3 linked regions of the Diceros bicornis minor genome follow. Each later gene encodes a partner of the first gene's protein in a complex. Links are inferred from orthologs where the notes say so. Each region holds a gene or a part of one and is shown in the gene's direction. Other genes may lie near its edges.

Evidence for each region. The genes of interacting proteins can lie anywhere in the genome.
Region 2: CDC45 (region 1) and MCM5 share a complex: the UniProt entries of both Homo sapiens proteins name them as parts of the CMG helicase complex. The link is inferred for Diceros bicornis minor from reciprocal best matches to the Homo sapiens genes CDC45 and MCM5.
Region 3: the proteins of CDC45 (region 1) and GINS1 are in contact, whole or in part, in a cryo-EM structure (PDB 6XTY), measured with the Homo sapiens proteins. The link is inferred for Diceros bicornis minor from reciprocal best matches to the Homo sapiens genes CDC45 and GINS1. Residues at the interface, in NP_003495.1 of Homo sapiens: Arg18, Gln37, Phe40, Gln41, His44, Val45, Gln46, Tyr47, Thr48, Leu49, Val50, Pro51, Glu64, His65, Gln68, Phe69, Thr394, Asp395, Ile398, Leu401, Asp402; in NP_066545.3 of Homo sapiens: Leu146, Tyr147, Glu149, Arg151, Glu158, Thr165, Ser166, Val167, Leu168, Lys170, Lys171, Asn172, Ser173, Gln174, His175, Phe176, Leu177, Pro178, Leu195.

The regions. Positions count from the first base shown.
Region 1 is NC_080774.1:32,205,800-32,212,877, forward strand, and holds the start of CDC45 (cell division control protein 45 homolog), read left to right. Parts: upstream 1-4,070; 5' UTR 4,071-4,243; coding exon 4,244-4,294; intron 4,295-4,419; coding exon 4,420-4,479; intron 4,480-5,335; coding exon 5,336-5,428; intron 5,429-6,512; coding exon 6,513-6,650; intron 6,651-7,078. Other genes in the region: UFD1 (ubiquitin recognition factor in ER-associated degradation protein 1), read right to left, coding at 247-379, 3,365-3,367. UniProt on the Homo sapiens protein: Required for initiation of chromosomal DNA replication. Core component of CDC45-MCM-GINS (CMG) helicase, the molecular machine that unwinds template DNA during replication, and around which the replisome is built.
Region 2 is NC_080764.1:14,204,301-14,211,442, reverse strand, and holds the start of MCM5 (DNA replication licensing factor MCM5), read left to right. Parts: upstream 1-4,132; 5' UTR 4,133-4,187; intron 4,188-4,413; 5' UTR 4,414-4,421; coding exon 4,422-4,588; intron 4,589-6,045; coding exon 6,046-6,172; intron 6,173-6,253; coding exon 6,254-6,382; intron 6,383-7,142. Other genes in the region: HMOX1 (heme oxygenase 1), read left to right, coding at 671-801. UniProt on the Homo sapiens protein: Acts as a component of the MCM2-7 complex (MCM complex) which is the replicative helicase essential for 'once per cell cycle' DNA replication initiation and elongation in eukaryotic cells.
Region 3 is NC_080758.1:51,383,324-51,390,638, forward strand, and holds the start of GINS1 (DNA replication complex GINS protein PSF1), read left to right. Parts: upstream 1-4,305; 5' UTR 4,306-4,411; coding exon 4,412-4,486; intron 4,487-4,628; exon of another isoform or gene 4,629-5,585; intron 5,586-7,315. UniProt on the Homo sapiens protein: Required for correct functioning of the GINS complex, a complex that plays an essential role in the initiation of DNA replication, and progression of DNA replication forks.

The DNA.
Region 1 (7,078 bases):
ATTTCCTAATGATCTTTCAAAAAGAATTTACTTGCTAGAATTTACTTTGAGGAACCTAATGGCTACTAGCCATAAATCTAATCATAATTAGGATTCCCCCCACCCCCACCAGCAGGCCTGAGGCAAGCAACATTTTCACTGTAACTAGCTCTGGTTATACATGCAAAATAAGGACTGTTGAGGACTATAAGCACTGCAGGCTGAGGGCAGGAAAGGTTACTATTCAAAATAAAAACAAGCACATACTCTTCCCTCCTTTCTCCACATCTGACCTGTCATTAGGCCCCGCAAGCATGGACACGGAGAAGCAGCGGTACTGTGTGGAGAAGCGGTTCTGGAAGACCCGGGGAATCGGGTGGTCAAACATGTTGAAAGAAAACTAGGAGGAGGAAAGAAATGCCGGAGTTAGAACAGAACAAAGGTACATTTCTTCTCGTCAAAGCCCAAACAGGTCAGGGTAGTTAATGCCGCTAAACATCATCAAAGAACAAGATGCCCCCAAATCCTGATGGACCAGAGCAGTCTGCCTGAACACCTCCCAGCAGCACAGTGAATCTCAAATCTCTCTGTTCTACACATTCTTCCATGCCAAGTCTCATCTCTCCGATTTAGTCTCCACTGTTTTCAGATGGTGTGAACATACTAAAATATAAAACTAGCCACATCAAGCCTGTCCTTAATCTCTTTCAGCCCCCAAACACCACAGGATCCAAGCCAGACCTTGCACCCACCTCAGGGACCGGTTACTGATGGCCCCAAAATCTCCTACACCTGCCACGTCCCCGCCAGGCTGGTTCCTCCACCTGGAACACTTTTCCTCTTCTCATTAATTTAAAAAATCTCTATTTATTGAGTGCCCACTATCTGCCAGGCTCTGACTTAAGCACTCGGGAAACATCACTCTAGTGATGTCTGCTCACCAACAAAACAGGTACAATCTCTGCCCTGGTGGAGCCAACATTCAAGATGAGAGAAACAAGCAAAAGAAAATGCCTGCATGTCTGGCAGTGATGAAAGCTCTGAGGACAAGAGAGGTAAGGGACAGAGACCTCCTGGGAATGCTATTTTAGATGGGTGGTCAGGAAGGGACTCTGCAGAGACCTGAATGCCAGGAAAGGGAGCCAGGCAGAAAGCAGGGAATGGCATTCCAGGCAGCAGCAAGAGCAGGCGCCCAGTGTTTGCACCCCTTCCCGTTCTCCTGGCTTCATGACCACCCTTTCCTTGCTCCAGGAACCTTCCCTGCTCTGCCCAAGGTCTGGGCTGGTGCCCCTCCATTGTGCTCTCATGTGCTACACTGTGGTACTCCCTCCTGTTAATAAGTAAAGCCAAGATGTGGTGTCATCAAAAAGGTAAGATCTCAGCTCTTACATTGTGGATTACAATGAGGCTTAGAAAACACGTTACACAGCAATCTGGGGTCTTCTCAAAGTATTGCAATTCCCTTGATGTTTAAAAAAAAGAATACAAAATTGCACAATAGGGTATATATCCAAAAGAACTGAAAGCAGGCTCTTGAAGAGATATTTGTAGACTCATGTTCACAGCAGCACTATTTACAATAGCCAAGAGGTGGAACAACCTAAGTGTCCATTGAAGCATGAATGGATAAACAAATTGTGGTATATCCATACAATGGAATATTGTTCAGCTTGAAAAATGAAGGAAATCCTGTCACATGCTACATGGAGGATGAACCTTGAGGACATTATGCTAAGTGAAATAAGCCAGCTACAAAAAGACAAATACTATATGATTCCACTTATATGAGGTCCCTAGAGTCATCAAATTCATAGAGATAGAAAGTAGAATGTTGTTGCCAGGGGCTGGGGGAGGGGAAGTGGGAAATTGTTGTTAGATGAGAAAGTTCTGGAGATCCATTACACAGCAATATGAATAAAATTAATACTACTGAACTGTATATTTAAAAATGTTTCAGATGATAAATTTATGCCATGTGTTTTTTACCGTAAGTTAAAAAAAACCCTCACAATAGACAAATATTTCTTGACTTGATTCCAAATATAAATGAAGTAGAGAGCAAGCCATCTACTGACAAGGTAGTTTCCTGGCAATTCCAAAATTAGTAAGCTGAATCAGCTATCTTTCTAATATGCAAATACAGCATGCTCCTGATTAAGATCTCAAATGGCTCTTCACTCCCTGGAGCTCCAGCATAGCAGTTTTCAAACCTTTCCCTCTCTTTTTTTAAACAGCATAACTCTGTTCAACAAAATCTTGGCCAGAAGCAGGACAAATGAAACAGGATTTCCAGATGAAAGAAGGGAGAGAAGCAGGCACCTCCCTGAGCCCTGTCACTACACTAACTCATGTAAGCCATTTCTTCTCTTTACAACAGGACAGAGTAAAATACACACAAAGTACTTAATATCCCTAACAATCTGCCTTCAATCTACCCATGAACCTGACCTTCTGCCCCTCTCTGCTGCTCCCAACCCCAAGTTCTACTTCCCTTTACACCCCCAATGCCTAGCATATTACCAAGACCTATCAGGTATTCAATGTCCATTAAGTGCATGGACTTGAGAATAGAAACGTGATTCAACACTGACATACCTGGGATAAAATCTAATAATCATTCCTTGTTTTTATGAAAATAAACAGCTGACACTGAGGCAATGCTGTACAATGGTAATGAGCCTGAGCTTTGCAGCCAGATAGACTTGGCTTCAAATTTCCACTCCTCACTTTTGTGACCTCAAGTAAACTATCTACCTCTTTAAACCTTAGTTTTCTCATGGTTAAAATAATGATCACCCATGCCTCCAAGTGCTTCATAAGGATTAAACGGGATGAGTTGTAATGAGCAACTGTAGGTGTTAAAAGAAAAAGCTGCGTAATGGAAAAAGGGCCAGTAAATATTAGCTACTACTGTTATCTTTACTGAATCGCTTAAATAGCCGAAAGCATCATCACACTCGAGGCATGACCAAGAAATACTGGGCTTGAGGAACTGGGGTAAGGGGATGACCCCGCGCATTCTCACTGGGAGCCCCTGATTCTGCTCCTCGCCCTCACAACCTTCCAATTAATTTGGTGTTTACGGAAACATGCTACGTGTCTAGCACTTGCAACTAGAAGCTTCCTTTTTCCCCTCAAGAAGTTCAAGTCCAACTGAGGAAATGCGAACCATGCTCCGCACAAGCGGAGAGAGCCGAGGCCGTTAGCGGTGAAGGGTTCGGCTCCAGCCCGAGGCGCCCCGGACGGGCAGACGGGCCGGACTCCGGCCAGGGTGACTCGACATCTCCGTAGCCGTCACGTCCGCCCCGCCGGGCCCCGGCCTCGGCCCTCAACCCCAGCTCCCGGCCGCAGCCCCAGCTCCCGGCCCCTGCCTGGCCGCGCTTACCATGATGGACACCTCTGCCTCGCTGCCGCCGCTTCGCCCAGGGAACGTAACGATGGCAGCCCGCCGACCGCTCTCCTCACAGCCGCCGCCGCCGCCTCAGCTCCGACCGCGGGGAGACTCACCGGAAGTACCGGACCTGAGACCCGGGGGGAGGCGCCGAGGGCAGGGGTCGGCTGCAAAAGAGAAAAAGCCAGGCAGAGGCGCTAGGGTCTAAAATTTCCCCGGAAAAAGCACTAAAATACCCTTTCCTAAAGTGTGCTCCACTCTCGAGTAATTTTTATAATTACTTTAAATTACATTTTGATAGTACTCCCCTCTAGAGGAGTTTAGTGGGGCCCATTCTCCTTACTGACTACACTACCCAGAATGCATGTAGACCTTCCGGCCTTTGCCGCAGCCATCCAGGACTCGGGCGGAAATAAGCTACACATCCTCCTTCAAACTAGACCGAGAGCCTAGTGACATCGTAAACTGACGCCCCCGTTCGATGTATAAATTAATTTAATTCATGACGAAAATGTTTCTTTTTCTTGGAGCTCCCAGTGGGAGGCTATAGGCTTCTCTTCCCAAAGTAAAGATGTCCACCGAGCGTCGGGTTTCTGGGTAAACGGGAGTCAGAGGTGAAGTGGACAGCCCTGTTTGCGTCCCGCCTGTTGATGACGCTTTTTTCGGTCAGGGCCGGACTGTTCCAGCGGAATGGCGGAGCGCTACTGCCCGCCTCAAATATGCTCCAATCAAAAAGGAGGAAAGGCTGGGCACTAAGTAGCTATTGGTTGGCCCCTAGGCCAATCGGAAGAGCTCTGATTTGGCGGGAGTCTTGACCGCGGCCGGAGCTCTCCGTGTCTCAGAGAGAGCTCTGGGCGTCCGGCCGCTGTGGCCATGTTCGTGTCCGATTTCCGTAAGGAGTTCTACGAGGTGGTCCAGAGCCAGGTGACCCCCTTTCTTGGACCCTGAAGCCTTGTCGGGGGGAAGGGATAAAGGGGAGCGGCCGTGGGAGGGCGGGAGGGGCCCGGGTTCGTGTCGCTGCGCTCAGCTCGCCGCTCTTCCCCCGACAGAGGGTTCTTCTCTTCGTGGCTTGGGACGTGGACGCACTGTGCGCTTGCAAGATCCTTCAAGTGAGCCCTGCGGACCCTGGGAGGGTGGGGCCGGGGCGAGAGGAGAGGGTGCAGGGTGGGCACGGGCGGGTGGTGGGGGCGCAGGGTGGGCAGGGAGTGGGGCGGGAAGTGAAGGCTTAGATTCCGGGAAGTGAAAGCTTAGCGTCCGGGGGGAACAGGGTGGGGTAGGCAGCCGGGCGGGAGGTGAGGAGCGGGGTAAAGAACCCCCTCTGGGGTGAGAACTCAGGCTCCCAGTGAGGCCTCCGGTGAGGGCCGGAGCAACGACAACTGAAAGCCGGGAAGGGGGACTCTGAGAGATCACCTCCCTGGCAGGAGAGTATTGGGCAGGTTTGAGAAGGATTAGGCAAAAGGCAGAGACTAGTTAGTTTTTTTGCAATAACCTAGGCAAAAAATGGCTGCATTCGAGAGACCTATAGACCCATAGTGGCTTCTCAAATGTGGGATTTGAGACAGAGGAATCTGTGACAACTGAGTGCACAGTGGTGTCATAAGCAATACTGGAAATACAGGATGCAAGATCATTGGTTCAGTTTTGAGTGTGGTGCGATGTTTACAAGAACTTTGGTCAGGCACTTGGGTCAGGAACTACTTTAGGTCTCAGAAGACATAAAAATAAGACCAGCTTTTCTCCCAATATTTTCCTTTGGTAGTTTTTAAAAAAATTCAGCAACGTTGAAACGTTGAAAGAATGAACAGTGAACACTCATATCCCCATTACCTGGTTTCTCCTATTAACATTTCACTAACCTTACTTTATCCATGTCATTTGTCTCTCAGCCACTTGTTTTTAACTGCATTTCAAGGGAAATTGCAGACACCCTAATTAAGATAGGTTTTGAAAATCATCTCTCTCCAGGCCCTGTTCCAGTGTGACCACGTGCAGTATACGCTGATTCCAGTTTCTGGGTGGCAAGAACTTGAAACTGCATTTCTTGAGCATAAAGAACAGGTATGAGAGATATATTTTAGAATGATTAGGCTTTTTTTACTCAATTGCAATTTCTCAACACTTAGCATTCTTTCTATTTCCACAGTAGGTTGCATGTATATGTAAGTATCAACTATATTAGGCAGTACGGAAGAGAAAACTGAGCTGTATGCCCGTGTGAGTTGTGGAGACAAAATGGACAGCGAAAGAAAGATAGTGAATACGTATAGCCTTTAACTTTGAACTTGTGTTGCTGACATTTCTTTCTAAGCTGCTTGGAATTTAGCAGTTAGTTTTTGATATGGCCTAGTTAAAATTATTTTAGATTAGACCATTATTTTACATTGTCTCTCCAAGAAAATGTATTCCAGTTTCCAACTAGAAATCTAGGAACATATCTTCTCCCTTTGTAATTTAAACAGTAGAGGCCAGTACTCCTACCACCTCTGTATGGAGCTGTAATGAGATGTGGGACATCTTAGAGCCCACTGCCCCACAGCTGCCTGGAGTCTCTGGCCACATCTAGGATTGTCTGGCAGAGATAAATCCTTGCCTGGAGCTCATGTCATCACAGAAGGGACCTGTGCCAATTCGGTGTTTATAAGGAAAGGATTCTCTATAGTGATAGGATATAATAAAAGACTTAATTTAATATTTAGGTGCCCATTAAGTATAGGCTGCCCAAGATTTGCTGAAAGTGTAAACCTGTACAATGCTATTAGTATGGAGAGGCAGCACAGCAGACTGAGGTCTGGAGAGGCCCAGTTATGCATTTGAAGTTTTGATCTGCTCCACATCAGCTTCTTGCCCCTGTGCATGAGACTCGGCCATGCTGACCCTCTGCATGCTCCTCAGCGAAGTGGAGACAGCCGTGGTGCCAGCGTGGAGCCTATCTCACGGTGTCATCATGAACATGAAATAGCATATGGTATATGTTAAAGCTCTTAACACAGGCCGGCCATGGCCATTTTTGGAGCCTCTTGCTGTCAGGGCCTTGCCAAGTGTCGGAGGCTTGATGTTTCTCAGCGGAAGGACTCAGGCCTAGTATGCTGAGGTAGAGGGCCTCCGCAATGCACTTAGTGCACAATGTCTCTTCTTTTTTCAGTTTCGTTATTTTATCCTCATAAACTGTGGAGCTAACGTAGACCTATTGGATATCCTTCAGCCCGATGAAGACGCCATATTTTTTGTATGTGACACTCACAGGCCAGTCAATGTCGTGAATGTGTACAATGATACCCAGGTAACTAGGGCTTTGGGGCCCACGCCTCCCCCAAGTTCTCCCATTGATCTGACTGTACCTTTTAATGCCACAGACAACATTGCACCTGGTGTTCTTGGCAAGGCACGTATCCACCTCCCATATAGGAGTTGGAGCAGCCTGAGGACAAGAACTTGTCTGTCTTTGATGAGAAGCATGGCACTTTACCCTTGGAGGTGCTCAGAATGCATTCGTGGAATTTGCTTGACCTGGGAGGTGTAGATACCAGAAGCCTGCATTGAGTCTGCCCTTGGAGCTCAGGCCAGCCCAGTCTCATTGAATATCGGAATCTCAGAGGAGTTTGCTCTATAAATGGGGCTTGGACCTGCCCTGATCATCCAAGGGGTGGTGTAGGGACCAGCAAGATAGCAGTGTGAGCAGTGTGAGAGGCCACCGTGAGCCTAAAATGG
Region 2 (7,142 bases), on another chromosome or scaffold:
TCCACCACGGAAGGCTAGGAAGACACATAACCTCTGAGTCTCGTCTCACGTGAGTCCCTGCCTCACATGCCTCAGAGAGCTATTGAGGCTGTGGCTGTGCTGGGAGAATATCTGGGAAACTTCCAGAAACACTAAAGTGCTCCACAAAATGCACCATCTCCCGTGGGCGGGAGTGTGGCTCTGGGAGTAGAGGAGGGGAGAGGGGTGAGTGAAGCTCAGCCGCCAGCTTGGCGGGTTACTTTAGGCCTTCGCTCCTGGTGCCACCCTACCCCACCTGGCCCTGTGTCTTTCCCACGTGTGCCAGGACCACATGGACCCCTCTGTTGGTGGGATTGTGCCCCGGAGCGTTGGAATGTGGCCAGTCCTGATGGGATTGGCCACCTGGTGGGCTGAGGGGACTTGGTCCTAATGCAGCAGTTCTCACAGTGTGGTCCCTTGGGGTACCCCTGGAGGGTACTTGCTCACAGTGTGGGCTGGCTGAAAATGGAAGGAGTGCACGGCTTGGAGCAGTAGTAAGCTCCCTGTCGTGGGAGGTATTCAAGCAGTGGCTGGGGGGCTACCTGTTGGTGTTCTAGCATTGAGTGGGGACTGTCCTGCTGTGTTTTTCTGTGACATTAGACACCCCACTTCTGTCCACCTGTTGCTGACACTGCCCCCCTTTCTCTTGCAGACTCTACTCCCACGGAGACCCCCGGGGGGAAGCTCCCTCTCAACATCCTCTCCCAGGTGCCGCTGGTCCGGTGGGTCCTCACACTCAGCTTTCTGGTGGCGACGGTGGCCGTGGGGCTCTACGCCATGTGAATGCCAGCGTGCTGCCTCCTGGGAGCCGTGAACTCTCACCAACGGAAGGCCTCTTTCTGGAGAGGGAGAATCTCTTGGCTGGCTTCCTTACCTTGGGCACGGGGGCTGTCGGGCCCCCACCCTCTCCCTGCGTCCCTCTCTCTCTGGAAAGCAAGGAGCCTGTGGTGGCTTCCCCAGCCAAAAGCGCAGCCAGCTGCATGATCTGAACTTTTGAAGCGGGCCGAGGGGTCCCGCCAGCCCCTCAGCATCCCCGTTCCTGCAGCAGAGCCCAGAAGACGTGGCCCACGGAGGCAGCTCTCCTCACCTCCAGATGCCCTGGGTTCACGGTCTCCTCGCTGATGTGCCGTGCCCGCTGTGCCCGCGGCCCATGGCAGTTTTTACATAAATGTGCAAAGATGTTGTGTCTCGTGTGTCTGTCTTGTTTTTGTTGGAGCCACTTTTTGTTCCCGGCTCAGCCTGAACTGGGGATTTTTGTTGTGTTCTCATGTTTTTATAGCAGGGTTGGGGTGGGTTTGGGGGGAGCGGGAGGGGGTGCAGAGGGAGGTGTTTAACAGCACTGTGGCCTTGGTCTCTAACTTGTGTGTGAAATAATAAAGGATACTGCCTGATAGTAACTCGGAGTGTTTTTCTTGGGCTCTGTTACCCTTGGGGAACAGACCTTCTCGTTGCTTGTTTCTTGACTGCCTGCTGGGGAGACGTGGTGAGGGTGCTGGTGGCAGGAGCTGGTTTTGGACCTTGTGCTCTGTTCTGAGAACGTTGGTGGGTGAGCTTTAAGCTGTTGGTGGGCGAATCTTTGTGGCAAACCCCGCTCGACGTGAGGCTCAGCTTTACCGAGGATGGGATTGCCCCGTGAGGCTGAAATGAGCAGATTCTGGGATAAAATTTGTGTGTCCCGCACGATAAATCTTAAAGACTTGAGATCCTGGGTTCAAATTCCCGTTCCTCCACATTGTAGCTCTGCCTTGGAGGTTAGTTATTAACTTCCCTGGGACTCAGTTCTGTCACCTGTAGCATGAACACAGTGAGACCCACTTCACCTGCTTGTTGTGAGAAGCAAATGAGATGCAGGTAAGATGCCAACCTCATACCACAAGAGCTCCTATTGTGAAACAATGGAGATCAGTTTTTTGTGAATTTTGCCTAGTGATTTTTTTTTTTTTTTTGAGGAAGATGGGCCCTGAGCTAGCATCTGTGCCCATCTTCCTCTATTTTGTATGTAGGACGACGCCACAGCATGGCTTGATGAGTGGTTTGTAGGTCCGTGCCCAGGATCCGAACCCGGGACCCCCGGGCTGCCAAAGTGGAGTGCGTGAACTTAACCACTACACCACTGGGCCAGCCCCTGCCAAGTGATTCTTGTCCTGTGAGAGTCACCTCTCCTCTGTCATCTCATTTAATCTTCACAGCAAACCTGACAGGGGTGTTACCACTCTGAGGGGCAGGAAGGATTTAACCCAGGTCTGTCCGGCCCTAAAACTCAAGCCTTTTCCATGAAGTCACGCAAGCCACTGAAACACTAAATATGCAGCCTCCCACTCTGGGAAAGTGAAACCCCTTACTGAAGGTGGAGTTGGGACAGCAGGGGACAAAGGGTTTCCTTATACCAGTAGGAAGCGAGGACCGGGAGTCAGGAGACCTTGATCCCCAGACTTGGCTTGGTCACTAAGTCTGGAAACTTGGATGTCACTTCAAGTCTTTGTTCATTGGCAAAGAGAACAATACGCCTGCCTCCCACAGCTGGTGGGAGGGCCCAGTGGTGACCAAACACCAGCGGATGTGGCATCGGAATCACTCGGGGAATTCGGGTCCCACCCCGGGAGGTTCTGACTCTGGAGCCCTTGACGGGACTCTGGAATTCTGTTCACGGAGAGCTTCCACCGTGCGGCCAGGTCCTGGGGCCACTTCAAGAGGTGATGGCCAGAGAGCAGGCTTCAGACAGCAGCCACAGCTCTCCCCACCTGGGCCCAGTTTCCAGAGCTTTCTGTGAATGGGGCATCCATATTCATTGTTAGTCGTGACAAAGAAAGGAAGGAAGGGGGCGGGCGAGAGAAACCATCTAGAATTCTACCAACAGGAAAATGGCCCAATAATTTATATCCTATTCCTACTACGGAAAACACAGCAGCTTGTTAAACAGAATGTGTTAAATCTGTCTCTCCGCTCAGGGGGACTTCCGTGAAGAAAATGAGCAAAGCCAGTTTCAGATTCATTTGATATAATTTTTACACACTGTAAAAATACACATAGTTTGAACACATAAATCTATGTTTGTGTGGATGTGACCAAGAGGGTAAAAAGTTCTTTCCAGTTTTTTGGGGGGTGGGAAGGGAAAAGAAGGGAGGGGAGATGATGTGGTCCCTGTTGCAGCTGGAGAATGCATCGAGTTTTGCCAAATCTTCTTGCTTTTCAAGCTAGGTTGGGGATCTGGTCATGAATTTTCACAAATTTTAAGCACTACCAGGTAATGCAAAATCTACAATAATAAAAAAAATCACCACTCGGATCTAAGAAAACATCCCTTGCGTCCCAAGTTTGGGACGATTTTGGTCCCAGAGGTGTTAGGGAGACCCGAGGTGACTTTTTTTCTGATAAACCTCCAACTTTTGGGCGAGTGTGTACCGGTAAGAGAACACGGGGCGGGGGTGCAGGGGGCTCACACTGCGCAAGCGCGTGCTTCTCTGAGGACTCATAGCTGCTTTTTTCTTTTTGTGAGGAAGATCAGCCCTGAGCTAACATCCATACTAATCCTCCTCTTTTTGCTGAGGACGACCCGCCTTGAGCTAAAATCTATTGCCAATCCTCCTCCTTTTTTTCCTGTTTTTTTCCCCAAAGCCCTAGTAGATAGTTGTATGTCATAGCTGCACATCCTTCTAGTTGCTGTAAGTGGGATGCAGCCTCAGGAGAAGCGGTGCCTCGTGGGCGCCCAGCGTCTGAACCAGGGCCGCCAGTAGCAGAGCGCCCGCACTTAACCGCTAAGCCACGGGCTGACCCCCATAGCTTCTGAACCCCGAGTTCTTACACCCCATGGCTCGGAAAGCGGCTACTTTACCCCAGTCCGCCCGCCCCGCCGCCATCTTCGCGCCCGCCCTGCCCCTTCCTCCCCTTTCAGAACTTTCGCGCCAAACCGGCCGACGCACAAAATGGAGCCCGGAAGGGGGCCAGGACTGACGTCAGGCGCCCCGCAGCCAATCCTCTTCAGCGGCCAGCCCGGGAGGCGGGGCTCGCGGGCTCAGAGCGGCCCAATCACTGGCCGCGCGGCCCCGGCGAACCAATGGGGGCGCAGCGGCCGCGGCGGGCGAAGGCGGGGTCTCGCTTTTCCCGCGAAAGTCGGCGGGGAAGTGTGGGGTGCTGGTTTGTCCCGGGCCGCGGAGTGCGGGAAGGGAGAGGTGAGGCCGGGGGCCTGGGGGCCGCGGAGCCGGCCCCGCGGGGGTCGACAGGCTCTGCATGTGGGGGCGCGGTAGGGGCGGGCGGGGCTTCTCCTGGGAGAGCTGGCGTGGGTGGGGTCCGGCGGGGAGCCGGGGTCGCCCAGCCGCCGGAGCCGAGGACCCCGGCGTCCGAGCGGAGGCGAGGCCGCGCCGCCCGGCCCGCTCCAGCGCTCTGTCCCCGCGCCAGGTGCAGTCATGTCGGGCTTCGACGACCCCGGCATTTTCTACAGCGACAGCTTCGGGGGCGACACCGCGGCCGACGAGGGGCACGCCCGCAAGTCGCAGCTGCAGAGGCGCTTCAAGGAGTTCCTGCGGCAGTACCGGGTGGGCACCGACCGCACCGGCTTCACCTTCAAATACAGGTGCGGGCTGGCGCGGGCCGGGAGAGGTGCGCCCCCAGCAGTGCCTGAGCGCTCAGCAGAGCCCCGCACCCCACTGGCCTATGGTTGTGTCCATTTTATCCCCGGTGTTAACTTGCCAGTGAGTCACCTGTTGAGTGGGCCGCTAGAGCCACTTGGGCCCTTTGGTTCTTCCTCTAGGTCTTCTTCCTGCTCATTTGCTTCGTGCTGTCCTCACATGTAGTGTCTGTGATGCCTTGTAAACTCAGGTTCACTGTGGGTGCGACCTGTGGGTGGTAGTTATGATCGACTTTGCTCGTTCATTCCTTGCCATTGGTAACTTCAGTGGATTGAGCGTCTGCTGCAGGCCAGGCCAGGCACTGTTCCAGGCACTGAATGAGCTGGGCAAGGTTGGACACTGTGCACCCTGTGACGTCATGCCGAATCCTTGTAGGCCCTTCAAGTGCAGAGAACATGAGTTTGCAGGTCCAGGCTTGGGCATGACCAGTTATTAGCTGAGTGGCTTCCGAGTGACCGTCTCTCTGGGCCTCAGTTTCTTCATCAGTAAAATGGGCTTAGCCACTCCTGCCTCTGTTTACTCACGCACCAGCTGACATGGACCACCTATGTGCCAGGCACCGTGCTGGGCACTGAGATACAAAGGTGAAAGATTCATTCTGTTTGCCCTCAAGAAGCTCATACATCAGTAGGAGCGAGGCATGGAGACCAGCAAATAAATTACAAGGTGATAGTCACCTCAAAGGAGAAATATAAAAGGAGTTAGGGAAGGCTTCCATGGAGCCCAAATTTGAGGTGATGCTTGAGCTGAGAGAATAGTTCAGGTGTGGAAGGCTTTCCGTATAGGAGCAGTTGCGTGCACGGGCAGAGGTACGGGGTGGCCTGTGATAGCAAGGGGCTCTCCGGGCCGGGCTCCTGGACATAAGGTGAAGGGGATGAGGCCTGAGAGAGGCTGAGGAGCAGGTTCTGCGTAGGTCGTGGTCCCCAAATGTGTTTTGGGGACAGTAGTCCCATGCGATGTTCTGTGAAAAGAGTCTGGTGGTTGACAAGACAGACATGGTCTCTGCTGTCTTCAGTCTCCGAGTTTGAGCTGTGTGCCTTGTTAACCTCCAAGAGAGAGTTAAAGCCTCCGAGTCCTGCAGTGAAAGCGCTGGTTTGCAGTGCGAGTTTCCTAAGCTCACCTGTGCGCAGAACCCTGTCTGAGCCATGCAGCATCCCTCGACTATCTGGTGGACCACTTCCACAGAGCTTTCTGTGGAGGGTGGCTCTGTCAGCGGCGGGGAGCCTCTGCAGGGTTAACTAACGGAACCACCTGGAATTCGATGTGTGTTTGGGAAGAGGGGTGGTGGGGCAGTGGCGGCCCCAGTGTGGGCAGATTTGGGGTGCGGGTGCACCTCAGCCAGCGTTGGTTTCCTCTTCTCCGCACCCTTCCCCGCCCCCACCCTGCCACCTGCCCCCTCCAGGGATGAACTCAAGCGGCATTACAATCTGGGGGAGTACTGGATCGAGGTGGAGATGGAGGACCTGGCCAGCTTCGACGAGGACCTGGCCGACTACTTGTACAAGCAGCCGGCTGAGCACTTGCAGCTGGTGAGTGGGACCCCATCCCTGAGCCCCTCAGGGCTGGTCCTGCTCTGGTCACTAACAGCGTGTCCCCTTCCTCCTCTCCAGCTGGAGGAAGCTGCCAAGGAGGTGGCTGATGAGGTGACCCGGCCCCGGCCCACTGGCGAGGAGGTGCTCCAAGACATCCAAGTCATGCTCAAGTCGGACGCCACCCCATCCAGCATTCGTAGCCTGAAGGTGGGTCTGCCTAGAGGCCAGGCGGAGGGTCAGGGGGCTGCTGCGTGGTGCGGAGGGCCTTCGGAGGTAGGTGGACCTGGGTGCCAGCTGTGTGAGCCCGAGCAGCTCACTCGACCTTTCTGAGCCTGTTTCCTCCTCTGTAAAATTAGTTCACTGGACACATGTTTCCTGAGCCCCTCCTGGGGCAAGGCAGTGAGTTGGGTCCTGGAGAAACAACGGTGAACTAGAGGACAAGCTCCTGTCCTCGCGGAGCTTCTGTCCCCTGGGGGAGACTGAGTAAACCCGTCACCGTCACTCACGATAATTTCAGATGATTGTCAGTGTGATGGAAGAAATCAAGAGGGTGATGAGAAAGTGTGGGGGCCCCTCTGGAAAGATAGAGAAGGCGTCTTCGAGGAGGTGACATCTGAGCGGAGAGCTGAGGATGAGGATGAGCAGCATGCAGACAGCTGGGAGCGAGCATTCGAGGGAGGTCGAGGGGCAGGTACAGCTAGTGCACAGCCTGAGAGGTGAGGAGGGCACGGTATGTTCGAGGTCGCGTTGCAGGACAGCCAGTGTGGCTACAGAGTGATGAGGAAGCAGGGGAGGTGGGCAGAGCCGGTCTGTCATCTAGGTTATCCCTTTTATTCAACAAATACTTCCTGAGTGGCTGCTACGCGCCAGGAGCTGGGCCTAGACCCTCACTATAAACAGACGGGCCCTTGTTCCCGTGGAGCTTATGGTGGGAGAAACAGACACGGGACATTGAGATGATTTCAGG
Region 3 (7,315 bases), on another chromosome or scaffold:
CAATCTGGGTAAACCCCTGGAAATGTTCTTACAAAGGTTTATAGGACAAAAAGAAAAAGGTAACAAGTCACAATTCTAATGACTTATAACTGTTTTCCCACAAGGACTTTACTTAAAAAAATGCATTTTCAGGTACTTTTTGGTTTGTTGAAACACAAATGTATAGATACTTATTTTTAGCTTTTGGGACGACATGTGAAAACAGCTGTTACTTTTTAAAAACCTGTATTAGGTTTTAGATTTTTGTAAAACAATTAGAACTAGCAGAAGGGGGACAATCCATTTCAAAGATAAATTTCCACTTGTGAAGCCCAAATGAAGAACTAATTCAACCCATCCTACAAACAGAAAAGATAAAAGAGCAGTTTCACATGTTTAGTTTTATAGCTTTGGCCATTATTTTTTACAAACCATCTGCCACCAAGAGATTTTGCTTACTTATTCGAAAGTAACTTTTGTAATTTCAACAATTATATCAGTTGAAAACTATTGGCCAGTGATAACTTAAGATCAATTAGAAATGCCTTTAGAAATTCAATAGCTCCTTGTATTAGCTTTGTGTTGTTGGGGAAGAGGGAGAATCCCCCTCCACCCTTTCCCTTAAGGTTCTTCTGGCTGGCCAAATAATTAACAAGACAGGTTAGCAGGAGAAAATAATACCAAGTTTAATAACATGTATACATGGGAGAAACCAGGGAAACTGAATTTCTCAACACAGTGGCAGAGATTCTCATCTTAAATACCATCTTCAGCTAAAGACAAAGGAGGATGTTGGGGCAGGTGGTGTTTTGGGATTTCAGAGGGCAATAAGACAATTTACATGGACAGGGAAATGTAAGTGTTCGTCAGACAATGCTTTCCAGGGCCACCTATAAAGAATGTGGCCGGAGAGACAGGAATTATAGTGATCGAGTATGTAGATTTAAGTCGTTGTCTTCTGTCCTGATAAGAGTTTTCACAGATAAAGTCATCCCCCCTCTTCCCACTATACAGAGGGAGATACCGTTACAAATGTAAATATTTGGTAAACAGAGCTTTGTTAAGAATGGGTTTAGCAAGAACCCTGCCAGTCTGTCTACACCCAGAGTTAAATTCCTTTAGGCAGTTTGGGGGAGGTCAAATGTCCATCAGAGAAAATAATCAAGGTAAAGAGATATATTTCAGGGTGGCCAATTTTGATCTCCCACAGTGATGATACTTTGAAATGGCAGAAGAATTTCATTGATTGTATACCAGATATCACAACCAGTGTTCATATTTGTGTGGATATCTCCAACTACACTTGTGGAATTTAAATGGTGAATTCTTTATAAAGCATTGTAGTAGTACATACCAGAGATTGGGAATCCAGGAACTAAAGTGTAAAAAAATTTTGAACCTATCACTCACAAAATCCTCTTTTTTTTGGAAGATTGTCCCTGGGCTAACATCTGTCGCCAATCTTCCTCTTTTTCTTTTTTCTCCCTAAAGCCCCAGTGCATAGTTGTGTAGCATAGTTGTAGAGTTGTAGCTCGTCCACGTGGGACACTGCCTCAGCATGGCTTGATGAGTGGTGCCGAGGTCCGCACCCAGGATCCAGACCAGGAAACCCCGGGCCGCGGAAGCAGGGTGTGTGAACTTAACTGCTACTCTAAGGGGCTGGCCCCCAAAATCCTTTTTAATAGAGAAACAAAAAAGCAAGGAAGGGAGGGCTGGAGAGAAGAGAGAAATGTAAAGGGTATTGAGTGTTGCTTGCTGGCACTAGGCCCTGCCTATACAGTCCTCAACTCGTAGTCTACACTCACTTTCTGAGTGATCTTATCCAGGCTTTAAATACCACCTGTCACTGGGGACAGTCACATTTGTATCTCTAATAGTCCACACCTCTTCCTTGAACCCTGGGCTCCTCTATCCAATGGTCTACTCATCTACTCTGATATCCTACAGGCGCCTAACCATATTGTGTTCAAAGCTGAGCTCCCAACTCTTCTCCCACCCCCAGCTCCATCCACAACTTTCCCCACGTGAGGAGTGGCAACTCCACCCTTGGAGTTCCTCAGGCCAAACCCTGGGGTCACCCTTGATTCCTCCCTTCTTATGCCACAGCATCTATCACCAAGCTTTGTCAGTTCTCATTTAAAAATCTATCCCCAGGATCCAAGCACTTCTTACCACCTCCACCATCCACACACTGGGCCAAGATGCCATCATCTCTCACTTGGATTATTTTAATAGCCTAAGTGGTCTCCTGCCTTCTCCTTTGCCTCACCTGTACTTAACGCAGCGGCCACAAAGGTCTTTTTAAAAACCTAGGTCCAATCCTGTCACTTGTTTGCTCAAAACACTTCATTGACTCCCCATCTCACTGAAAATAAAACCAAAAGCTTATGTAAAGGCCCACAGGCTGTACCTTACATGGCCTCCAGCCCTCGCTCTGGTCTCAGCCACCAGCCTCTCCCATGCTCACCTTGCTCCAGTGTCACTGCCTCCCATGCTTGCACACGTCCCCCCACACCCCTCCTCCCAGCCTCTGCACTTCCATTCCTGCTGCTTGGAATTCTCTGCCCATGCTGTGGCCACATATCCACGTGGCTCACTACCTCCCCACTTCAGGTCTGTGCCTTCTCTGAACACTAACTCAAAACTCTCAGGCTTCACCAGTACTCTGTTCACCCTCCTTGGCTTATTCTCCTTCGTAGCACTTTTTACCAATATTTGCCATTAGTATATCGGCATCTATGTATTGCTTTTCCCAAACTGGCACGTGGATTCTGAGAGTAAGGATTGTGTTCACTGCTTCATCTTAAGTGTCTGGAACAATGCCCAGGATGTAATAGACACTTCAGAAAATATTTGCTGCAGGAATAATGAATCATCACAACCCCTTAGAAGTGGGTACTGTTGTCCTCATTGGATAGGTAAGGAAGTGAATCCCAGGCCTGGGGACTGAAATTAAAAAGGTTTATGGCAAAATTAAAAAGGTTTTGGATCACAATACTGTAGCACAGTCCACTAGAGAATTGTATCTTTAATGAAAACACTTAGCTAAATTATCTCTTAACGTAGAGCTGAAAATGAAATGTCACTCAACTTAAGGATGATTGAAGCATTGTAGGCCATTCCCATGCTCACGTCTCAGATCACACATCTACTGTATCTATATTTGCAGAAGAGGGACACAGTGTCTAGGGTTAGCTAGAATGAATCCAAGTAATATTGCTTTTTAAAAAATATCCAAATAAAACGAATTGTTTCTATAGCAGTAATTCCCACCTTCGATTCTATATAGTTATGAAAATTTCCATAATCATTTAGGCAAGTATATGGCTATGTGAATGCGTGTTAATCTGGGGCATTTTTCCCCCTTCATAGACCTTGTGACTGGAGCTATTTTACAAATGTTTTTAAATGACTTCTTTTAAAATCAAAGGTGGTACTGTGGAGTTGAAAGCTTAAATACAGGGTCTGTCACTTGATGAGCTGTGAGACCTCGGGCAAATTATCTAACTTGTTTCCCTTTTTTTTTTTTTTAAGAAGTGACTTCTATTTATTTATTTATTTATTTCCCCCAAAGCCCCAGTAGACAGTTGTATGTCACAGCTGCACATCCTTCTAGTTGCTGTATGTGGGACGCGGCCTCAGCATGGCCGGAGAAGCGGTGCGTTGGTGAGCGCCCAGGATCTGAACCCAGGCCATCAGCGACAGAGCGCGCGCACTTAACCGCTAAGCCACGGGGCGGCCCATAACTTGTTTCCTAATCCGTTCCAAGAGACTTAATGACCACCTTAGGGTTAATCCTGAGAATTAAATGAAATAGAAGTCCCAGTCCCTGCCACACAAGAAATACCCAATAAAACTTGGTTTCCCATTACTATCTATCAAACGAAAAACTCACACTGCAAAACTAACGAACGAAACGCTGCGTCATAACGTGAATGCACACCAAGTTCCCGGGCCTGCCTTCTGAACCTCAAAGTGCGCAACCCTTGGAACCTAAACGAAAAGGAATGACTCAAATGGAAAAAGGAAGTTGCGGGGCCTGCATTTCTCCCGAGCCGTGGTGCGCGCAGAGTTGCCTGGTTACCCTCCTGGGAACTCGAAGAAGTCTACTCAGCCTGCGGACCCAGGCCCGCCGGCTCTCCCCACACGCGGGGGCCATCCCCAGCAAAGGACCTCCACCCAGGACTCTGCCCGTCTTGAAGCAGCTGGGCAGTGGAGTCAAATGTCCCTTTGCCGCCGCCGTAGGCCGCGACGCCCATCAGTGCGTTCCTATTGGCTGGCCAGGCTTGGCGCCAAAACGCGGAGGGGAAGCGAGGATCAGGAGCTGTGGGACCGGGAAAGATAGGAGCCGAGAGCGGCGGCCGAGAGCCCGGGGACCGTTTGTCGTGAGAGTGGGCGGCTCACAAGGCCGCGGGACCGGGGCGCGTCCGCCATGTTCTGCGAAAAGGCCATGGAGCTGGTCCGCGAGCTGCATCGCACACCCGAAGGGCAGCTGCCCGCCTTCAACGTGAGGGGGGCAGGGGCAGACAAAGATGGGCGTGCTGGCTGGCGGGGCCTGGAAGCCCCGGGGGCGGGACCGGGGGCGGGGCGGCTTCCCGCGGTTCTTCCTTGCGCCTTACCCGGAGGGTTTACTTTCTCGTGGTGTAAGCTCCAAAGTCGGGGGACAGAAGTTTTGGAACGTGGCAAGACAAAGTATAGGAGGAAAAAGAAAGCACTAATGTTTATGTCACCCGGCGATATTGTGAATTTCCTCCTATGTCTCCCTTAGTGTTCTCCGGTGTGCAGCTCTGCTGCTGTTCCTTTGTTGCACCAAGCATTGATTAGTAGTTGCCTGTGCTCTAGCATTTGTCGTGCACTCGGGCAGCAAAGGGTGGTGATTGAAAGCTAGGCCTGTGGAGCCAGGCTGGGATTCTGGCTCCATCGTGTGGCTTTGGGCGAGTTACTCAAGCTTTCTGTGCTGTTTTCGTCTCTGCAGAAATGGGGCCGATGGGAATAGTACCCAACTCCTGGTATGCTGAGGGCTGATGAGTTGGTGTATGTCAGGCTTTCTGAACAATGCTTGACACCCAGGAACGGCTAAGTCAGTGCTTGCTATTAATTTTCTTTCTGCCACTGCTGCTGCTACTCCTACTGCTCTTATGATTATTCTTATTTCCCTGTTACTGCTACCCCAGTCAGGGTGCTGAGCGCTTGACCTACATTATCTCTCTTTTTTTCTTTTTTTTAATTGAAGTAACATTGATTTATAACATTATGTAAATTTCAGGTGCACCTCGTTATATTTCCATTTCTGTATGGAGTGCATCATGGTCACCACCCAAAGACTAATTATCATACATCACTGTAACCTATATTATCTCTTGTTCTCATGGTAACCCTTTGAAGTCTAAACCATCTTTTATTTTCCATTTTTTTCCAGCTATCTGTTGGAAGCTTGGGGAGATTAAGTGACACAGCCAGTAAGAAGTAAAGCTCAGATTTAAACCCTGGCAGTTTGGCTCCAGAGCCTGAACTCTAGGTTCTATACTTGACTACATCCCCCGTCATAGGGCAGCCACAGTGTGGATGCCAGGGCACATTGTGCTGGGAGTGGGGCACGAAAACAGGTAATAGAATGTAATGTGATAGGTGATGCCGAAGAGGTGTAGAAAAGGAGCACAAAGGAGAAATGCCAGTGTGAGCTAGGGTACAGGAGGGGGCGTTTGAGCCATGCCTAGAAGGATGAGGTCACCACTCTGAGAAGGGAGTGAGGCGTCCCAGCCAAGTGCAGAGACGGGCAATCACATAGCAAAGGGTGACTGAAAGACAGGGTGTGTGCAGGGACTACAGAGGTGGGTTCCAGGCCTGGGAGAGTTTGGTATTCACTCATAAGGCATTTGGAAGCTGGCAGAGGATTTTAGACAGGGGAGTGAGAGGGTAATTTTTTATGTTTTGAGGATAACTATAGCAGCAGCAATATGGGGAATGGATTGGAGAGAAGAAAGAATGGAGGCAGGGAGATCGTTAGTGGGTGGTTAAAATAGACCAGATGATAGATGTGTATGGTCCAAACTGTGTCTGGTCAGTGGGCCCTGAAATCGGTGTCTGGCCTGTATGGGCTTGAGACAAACAAGACTTCTAACTATTAGAACAGAAGTGGAGATGGGGTGAGTAATCAGTGAGGAGGAGGAATCGGGATTTTGGGAGGCGCTTCTCTCAGGTGGCTGAGTAAACCACATTGGAGTTGAGGAGGAAGAGTGTTCGGGGGAGGGTGAGTTTTGTTTTGAACATTAAAGGGCACCTAGTCTGACAATTAGGTCATTTTACAGATGAGAAAACTGAGCCAACAGAAATTATGGATCAAGTTAAGGTACTTGTCTGAACTTACAGCATATTGGAGGAAGAGCCTCAACTTGAACACAGGTTTCCTAGATTCTAGTCTGTTGTTCTTTCAACTTCAGGACAGTTACCTCATTTAAAAAGTCAGGAGACAACAGTGGGAGTTTAGTAGAGATGCTGGAATGCAGAGGTATGTAGGCTCTAAAATATGGCTCCACGCTGGGGTCCGGACAACTAGGCACTTTGGAGTTCATGATGCACATGAGGAAACAAGCCCAGAGAGGCAGAGACTTCTCCAACAGGTGCTGGCTGAGGTGGCCTTGGAACCGGCTCTTAAGACTCTTAGTCCAGCTGGCCTTCTCACTCAAATTTTAAGATAAGTGTTGGTTTACTGCTTTTGGGGAGCCAGGGATGGAACTTAGAAGTTGTAAAATCACTCCTTTTTCTAGGTCTTAGTGTGGTGGGGCACCTTTTGTTGCATTCACCTTCCACTGATAAACCCACCTGCCAGTAGGTGATGCAGCAGGCCTGCAGGCTCTGGCCCCTCTGCGACACAGCTGAGCAGGGGCAGAGAGAGAACTGATTTGATTGATCTGAAGGCTAATAGGCCCAGGACACACACAGGCTCTCAAGAATCATTCCTCCCAGGGGGATGATAGTCAGTGGGTTTTGAGCAGAGACTCTGGTTCATTCCAGAATCCCTCATGGCTAGATGCTGTGTTCAGCAAACTGAAATGATTATCCACTTACTATATGCAGAACTGGTAATAGTTTAAGTGAGTTTTTAGGAGAATTATCTTGGGCTCCCAGAGGCTCAGATCAAGCCTCTGAGGCAAGGGGCACAAAATGGATGCAATTCCTACTATAGGTTAAAAAAAAAAGTCTAAATCTGAAAGTTTGTGTATATTTTTGCAAAATTATTTCACACTTGTCCTTTGTATACCTGCAGATTTATTAATTGTACAACAGTTTCAACTATTCCTTAAAATAATATTTGTTCATAAAAGGAATATTTAAC